Tamandua tetradactyla: one gene and its partner. The protein of the gene in region 2 purifies or fractionates together with the protein of the main gene of each other region. This does not show direct contact. Links are inferred from orthologs where the notes say so. Each region holds a gene or a part of one and is shown on either strand. Other genes may lie near its edges. The genes, in order: CEP170 and WDR62.

Evidence for each region.
Region 1: the proteins of WDR62 (region 2) and CEP170 purify together in Homo sapiens (affinity purification with mass spectrometry; 3 studies listed by BioGRID and IntAct, with this or other methods). This does not show direct contact. The link is inferred for Tamandua tetradactyla from reciprocal best matches to the Homo sapiens genes WDR62 and CEP170.

Annotation. Positions count from the first base shown.
Region 1 is NC_135333.1:14,520,465-14,524,376, forward strand, and holds the start of CEP170 (centrosomal protein of 170 kDa), read right to left. Parts: upstream 2,719-3,912; 5' UTR 1,881-2,718; exon of another isoform or gene 1,742-1,880; intron 1-1,741. Other genes in the region: SDCCAG8 (serologically defined colon cancer antigen 8), read left to right, coding at 3,010-3,076.
Region 2 is NC_135342.1:29,895,306-29,899,217, forward strand, and holds the start of WDR62 (WD repeat-containing protein 62), read right to left. Parts: upstream 2,769-3,912; 5' UTR 2,698-2,768; coding exon 2,521-2,697; intron 1-2,520. UniProt on the Homo sapiens protein: Required for cerebral cortical development. Plays a role in neuronal proliferation and migration.

The DNA of each region.
Region 1 (3,912 bases), on a different chromosome or scaffold from region 2:
CCCTATACCAGTAATTTACTTTATAAAATTTCTATTTTAGTAGGATTACCACCTTAACATCACGAGGAAAAGGACAAGATTAATACAACTGAACTATTAATGAACTTTATCCTCACAACTCAAACAGCACACAGAGAAAAGCTTTCCATACTTTTTCACAGGGTAGGAGGACTAGGGGTACAGACCTCAGGAGGAGGCAAATCAGAGCCTTGTAATATTTGGCTCTGCCTTCATTTAGCAGTTTGGCTTGGTTGGAAAAGTCAGGTAAATTTTCAAGTTTCAGTTTCTTCCTCTGACAAAAGTACTTAGACTCTCCAGTTTTAAAACACAAAAATTTCTACAATATCTATGAAGTTAGAAAGAACCAAAAGCATGGTTTCATTTTTTTTTAATATGATGGCAGAAAATTACAAAATGGTTGTATAATTTGCTATTCATTGTGTAATATTTCCAGAGGTGTATTCCTAAATCTTTGAAGCAGACCCAGCTTGGATTATATCAGTGGAGAGATCTAGAAATTGTATTCAGAATATAACTCCTACAATGTCATTTTTCTTCCACTTGCTTCTTTCCTCATCCTACTTCATTCTCTCTTCTGCTTGCTGTAACTACAAATGCCAGCGAGTGCTTACAGTAAACACTGTAAGTGTAAGAATCAGATCATTTAAAAATTTTCAATCATCTGCTTTATCAAATTCCTCCCAATTTAGTTGAGTTTTCATTACAAGAATTAAACTATGAGTAACCACTTCAGAAATTAAAATATACAAGGGTTATTTTTTGTTTTGATTTGATTGCTTTTAGAAAACAAAACGACGTAAAGATCTATTCTAATGCCTTCCCTTAAGAATACGAACGCATTACCCACCCAATGAAAAAACAATTCTGCTGGTTCATTTCCCTGCCACACAAAAGCTTCATTGTCAGGGCCTTCCTAGCCCAGTCTTCATCGTTGTCTAGCAATCTTACACACTGACCACCTTTACAGGGCTTGGTTCCACTAAGCACAGACCCTGTCTTCCAGAAGCTTACAGTCTTCAAATAAATAAATAACACTCTACTGTACACCAGAAACAGATTACGTGACTGAGAATACAAATCCCAAATCTTCCCGCCCTGTTTTAGGCAACTGGTAATCTTTTTTTTTTCCTTTGCATAAAATGAAGAAAACCATACCAGAGGCCTACATTCGAATGTTAGGACAATGAAGGCGACAGGAAGCCCCTCTCTCCGCCCCAGGGTTTACCACGGGGCCAGAACCTACGCGGAGTGCAGTCGCCTGCCAGGGTGCGTGACACCACGTCTTCCATGCCCGTCAACCGCGTCCAACCTCGCACCACCTCCCCCAGTCGCCTCACTCCCCAAAACCAATAAAAAGGATCGGCACTGTTAGCCGCTCAGATGAGGGGCGCGGGCTGGGAAAAACCCCTTCTCCGGAGGCAGCGTGGCCATTCCCTCCGATCCTCCTCCGCTCGCGCCCCTCGCACACTGCTAAGGCGGCGGGGGGGTGTGTGGGGGGAAGGTTGCACAAAGCCCGAGAGGGAGCTGAAAACGATTCTATACATCTAGGGAAAGAGTCAGAGGAAAAGAGGCTGGGCAAGGCCAGGTTGGCTACTGGACTGGAGGGACAGGAGATGGGGAACCACGCGAGCTCGGGTGGGGGATGGGACGGGCGGCCCCGCCGAGCCCCAGGGTGGGGGTGGCGGCGGCGGCGGCCGCGGCGCCGCGCGGAGATTCCGGGAAGCGACCCCCTCGCTTCCCGGCCTCGCAACCCGAGTCCCCGCCGCAAACCCAAGGCTCTCCAGGAAAAGGATGTGTAAAAGCAGCGGCAGTAGCTGTACCAGCAACGCCTAACCCAAGCAGCCGACAGCATCACTTACCCCTCACCGCTGGGAGAGGGACCGGACGGGGGAGGCGGGGCGCGTCGCGTCCCGTGAGTCTCTAAGCACGCCGTCCTCCCCCCACCCCCTCGTCGTCGTCGTCGTCGTCGTCGCTGTCGTCGTCGATGCTGCCGCTGCAGTTTAACTCCGGGCCCCTCAGCTCCTCTGGGCAATAACGTTATTCTACACACGCCTCACACATAGCGGTAACGGCAAAGAGCGGCAGCCTAGTGCGCAGGCGCCACGGGAAAGGGCGCAGGGCCGGGCCCTGTTCCCTCCGCCTGCTCTGGCCCAACAGTTTAGTTCTGCGCAAGCGCGAAAATGAGACAATGAAAAGGCGTTGAACTGAGGGTCTCACCCACACGCTTTTGCTGCTGCCCACTGCGCAGGCGTGGTATAAAGAGCGGCTTGAACAATAAAGAGGACCCTATCAGTAGCTTGGACCGCAACCAACAAGGACTACAGCTCCCTGCGGGCAGTGCGCCAACTCCAAGAGGAGGCCGGGTCGCTGGGCATGCTAGGATTTGTAGTATCGGCCGCCTTCACAACATAGGCTGGTCGGTAGGTCTAGAGTTTCTTTTCCTTAAGAATTTATGTGGTCGTTATTACAACGTTGCGGTCAAAACAGAATCCCGAGCTTTTCACTTGCGTACTGAGAAGCCTCAGGGGTCAACTGCATAGTATAACATTTCGAACAGTCGAGGCCTTCAGGGGGCTCTTTCCGTCAGTTAAGTGGTCCAAGCAGCGGAAGGATGAGATGAAAGCGGGACTAAACCAGGCTGGGCAGGAGGAAACGGGCGGAGCCTCTGAGGTGTCTCTTGGCAACGGACTATTGCAGCCAAACTGCCGAAGTTTGAGCTCCGAGCGCGGTGCCCTCTGGGAATTGTAGTGTCTGTGGAGGAGCTCTCAGGTGCCTCGAAGTTTCAGGTCGAGAGCCTGGGGACTGCAACTCCCGAAGTCCACCGTAAGGGCCATTGGGTGGGAAGAGCCTCCAGGAGCTCCATACTGGGTTCCACGCTCCACAGTGACAGCCGCGGCAGGAAGAGGGCGGGTGCTCTCTAGGCGCTAGGCCTGTTGTTCTCTGGACACTTCCCCACGTAGTTCCCATCTCTGGGCCTTCGGTCCGTGCATGGCCGTGTCCCCGGGGAACTCTGCCCTGGAGGAGATTTTGGGGCACTATCAACGGAGTCTCCGGGGTGAGTTGCTCCGAATCTCTGCTCCTAGCCCCTTGGTACCCAGGGCCTCGTGGATGACCAGGTGCGTTTTTCCTAACACCTCTGTTCGGCCCCAGCCAGGCTGCAGAAGAAGAAGATGGATGTTGCCGTGATCCTTGAGGAAGGATGAAAGAGTTTTGTTTTGTTTTTACATTTAAGCAGCGTTGTTTCCTTGATTCCCGTTAGTAACCTCAACAAACTGCCTGATCTTGAGTTGACCATTTTTCTTAACCAATGCCCACAGAAACTGTTGGAAAGTTTTATGCCACTCTTGCCCAATTCTCATACTTTGCTTTTTAATCCTGTGCTTTCCTGATTCACATTTTTTACACATTCAAATTCCGATATAGTGGACTGAAAGTGATTTATTTGCCGGGATGGAGTGGGGAAACACATAATTGTTTTAATCACAGAACCTTCTATTTAGTTGTCTAGGTTTTTGAAGAACACGAGTGCATTTAAAACTTGCAACAACCTACTGATTACCCCTATTTTACACTTGGGAAATCGAGATTCAGGTTTTATATGCAAAAGGCCACACGGGTGATTAGTAGCAGAACCAGATATTGAATACGTGTGAATCTGCTTTCAAAACCTACATTAATAAGTGTATTAATCCTATCACAGTTACTATAACTGAAACTTTATTCACTTGTTAGGTCAATATCTTGTTAGTGAGTATCTATGGAAGTGATGGTTGTATTTGTGTCAGATGGTTCTGTCATCTTGTACAACTTACATAAACTCTAGAAAACTCAGTTGTGTAATTTTGACATAGAAGTTAGAGTACTGTATACAGGGTCATTGTAAGGAGCAAA
Region 2 (3,912 bases):
ATTACTTTGAGAAATACACTGCTAGATGAAGGGTACAAGGTGGTGAAGAAGACAGACAAAAGCCCTGCTTTCCTGGAGCTCACATTCTGGTGATGGTGGGGAGGGAAAACAAAGAAAACGAACAAAACAAATATAGAGAAAATAAAGCAGGGATTGGGATTGAGAGTACAGGGGAAAGGGGAAACAGCCTCACTGAGAAGGTGACCCTGGAATAAACTTCTAAATACTTTTATATAGATTAAAGACCTGAATGCTCATAACAATCTAAGGAAGAAGGCACTATTGTCACCACAATTTTACAGATAAGGACACTAGAGGCCCAAGGTCCTACACCTGGGGAACGGCAAGGTTGGGATATAAACCCAAGTAGGTTGGCTCCAAAGACAGCACTTTGGGCCTAGTAATGGAGATACAACATTGAGCAAAAGTGGACCCTGTCCATTTTCTCATCAAACTCACAGTCTAGAATTTCAAATTTAAAAACCCTCTAAGCAAGTAGGTGAAACGGGCAAGTCCCTATTTAACTACAATCCCTACAGCGTAGGGATTAACTGGAATTGTGCTACTTTCATATTTAGATCAGTTCCTAATTATACAGAGTAAAACACTCTTAGGCAAGTCCATGGTATCAGAACTAAAAAGTTACCATAAGGTAACAAGTAATGTTAATACTGAGCATTTATCAGAAGTCAGACACTATTCAAATACCTGTAACTCTATTAATTTATCCAACGTTTAAATAAGTCTGTAACATAGTTACCATTGTCACCACCATCCTCATCTTACAGATAAGGAGAGGGATACTCGGAAGTGGTAAGTAACTTTAGCCCCAGGTTACCCATTCAAGAAAGAGCAGAACCAAGATTCTAACCAGGCAGTCCAGCACTGTCACTCATGTCATTTCACTTACCATTAAGCATTATTGGGCAGTAGTATAATTGATCATTTTTAGACAATCTTTTGCTTATCTACACTGTGCTGCCAAAAGAAAAATAAATGATGTGCTGCCCAAAATACACAATAACAATAACAGTAGTCGCTAACTGTACTAACAGAGTACTTGCAACGTGCCTGGAGTTGTTCTAAGTGCTTCAGGTATGTTAGCTCATTTAATCCTCACAAATGCCCTACAAGGCATATTAATACTTTTATCTTCATTACAGATGAGGAAACAGAGGCACAGAAAAGTTCCTAACTTGCTAGGAAGAATAGAATTAAAGCATAAGCCCAGACAGTCTAGGTCCAGAACCTGTGTTCTTTGCCACTTTGCTATATGGCCACTCTGAAAGTGCTATTGTTATTCCTCTACATTTATACATAGTTTAAGAGCTCACAAGGCACTTTCAGGAACATACAAGGAAAGGGCCATGAAGAACAGGGCGCTGGGTGAGAGACTAAGGTGGGTATCTGCTTTAGATTGGGATTCAAGAAGGCCTCTTGGAGGTAAGAATATTCAGGCTGAGACCTGAAAGATAAGGAGCTAGCTTTGGACCGCAGCAAAAAGGCCCAAACACAAGGGCTGGAAGGCAGGAGAGAGCTGAGAGCCTCAAGGAAACAGAGAACAAGTCAGTGTGACTGAACCTTGGTAAGAGGGATGCCAGGGGAGCTACAGCCAGAGAGGTGGGCAGGGGCCCACTTGCATAGGGGCTTGCAAGCAGGAATGGGCAACATGTTTGGAATATAGCAGGGAGCTACTGAGCAGGAACAAGGTCCACCAACAGTTACCATTTATCCACCCTTTATCTGATGCCATGCACTATGCCCAGCAGGTCACATTCACAATTTCTTCATATCTCCCTAAAACATAATGGTCAGGTTATTGTTTATGAAAACAGATTACACATGTTGCTTTGCTGGGGGAAATTCAACCTATTCTAAAATCGCCTCTTTTTTTCTGTACTCAAGATTTAGGAAAGTATTCTGTACTCCCCCCTCCCCACCCCCATCCCCAGCAGCTGGCACTGATGAGATTTTTAGAATATTACTAGCATCCTCTCTATAGTTTTGAGTGGCCATATGGAATTCCATCTTGGTAAGGGAAAAGGAAGAAGGCAGGGGTTGACGGACGGCTGGGGAGACCTGAGACTGAGACGGGTAGGACTCTGGGCCGAAACCCCTAAAGACCTGGCGCGGCGGGGTCAACAAAGTGGTGGAGTTCGGGAGAGAGTTTAAAGTTCAACTGGAGCTCAATCCCATAAAGCGTGATGAGAAGGTGACTTGCAGAGACAAGGTGTTCGGAGAGATGGGACTGGAAAGGAACGCCGGGAACAACCCAGAGGCTTGTGGGTGGGGCCAAGGGTTGAGAAGCGAGGCCAGGAATGATGGGCAGCGCCCGTGAGAAAAAGATACCGAAAAATGGGAGTAGCCTTTCTGAAGGGGCGGGTCTTAGTAGATGAGGCGGGGCTGGGAGAAACCTGAGGGGACCCGTCGGAGGCTGATAGGTGTGGCCAAAGAGCTGAACATTGGACCCGGGGGCCCAGGGAGCTGGGAGTGGGGTGGGAAAGGCAGATAGATCCTCACCCGGTTCTGCACCGTATCGTCGGGCGCCGCTGTGAGTCGAGTCCGCCGCCGGAGGCAGAGCGGGGCAGCCGGGGGCGGGGAGGACTGGTTCCTCCGCGCCGGAACCCCCACCATGACGGATGGCAGCTTCTCTCCCGTGTCGTTCCGCGCGTAGCCTGCGAGTCCCAAGGCCGCCATCGTCACGCCGGGGCCGGGCGACCGTTACACGCCCAACCGCCGCAGCCACGACTCACTTGAATAGCGAACCGCCGCGGGAAAGCCGGAGCCGGCGCCCATTGGACACGGCGTGCCGCGGGTTTAGCCAATCTCGGGGCTGCCGGGCGGCCCTTTCGACCAATAAGGGCTTAAAGGAGTAGCGTAGCCTCGGACAGGGTGGGGCTATTGCTACTGCCACCGCCTTCGGAAGGAAGGGGCCTTGGTTCGGGTTTACTTAATGCTCGGATTTAGCGTATTGGTGGTTTTGGACCATTCTGCCTTTTTATCATTCACTGAAATAAACAGGATTTAATTTTTGCAAGGGTAAGGCCATAACCGCCTCACCTCGCTTTTTGCTGCCTGCCTACCCACGGCGACTACCCACACCGTGACTGTCACCCGGATGTGTAATCGCAGGGTGGAGCCGAAAGAGAGTGACGAGCCAGTCGAATTGGTTGGCGCAGGCTCAGAAATGCTGTGATGCCACTGCAATAAAGAGCTGGGCAGCAAATGGCGGGCTTTGCATGTTTGTACTTTCCCCATTCACCACTTGATGAAGGCGGAGCTCGGGTAAGGCAGCATGGCGCGTCTTAGGCGGCATCTTCCGGCTGCAACACGTGAGGAGGGACCAGCGGCCGTCACGTGAGACAGGCGGAGAGGGAGCGAGCCGGGCCGGGTTCGGCGGCCCCCGCGAGGAGCAAAGTGCGACCGCTAACCTGGCTAAACTCAGTAGGGCTTGGACCGCCTTGCCCAGGTCTTGCCGGGCTCCGAACTGCTCCAGCAACCGCCCAGTGAGCTTCGCAAGTGACTGCAGGAGTGGGGCGGGGCTTGATAGGAAGCGGGGCCCTGGGAGGGGCGGAGCACCTGGTCCAGCTTGAGGCGGGTCACAAGTAGGAGTTAGCAAGGTGAAGAGTCCGTATTGCGGGCTGCAAGTAAACATCGAACTTGCAAATGTACAGATGCGTGAAACAGCAGGGGGTAGGCGATAAACTAAAGGTACTACAAGGAGACTGCTGAAAGCGGAGGGGTGGGGGTAGGGCGGCTCTGTAGGGAAAAGTGAGGTTGGTCCAGGCTTTTAGGTGCACCTGTTCAATAGCTTACCCCATCCTTCAGTTGCTCAGGCTAGAAACCTTAGAATCATCCTTACCTCTTTTTACTCACCCCTGGGAAAGTAAAAATTAGTTTGTGCTGTAAAAA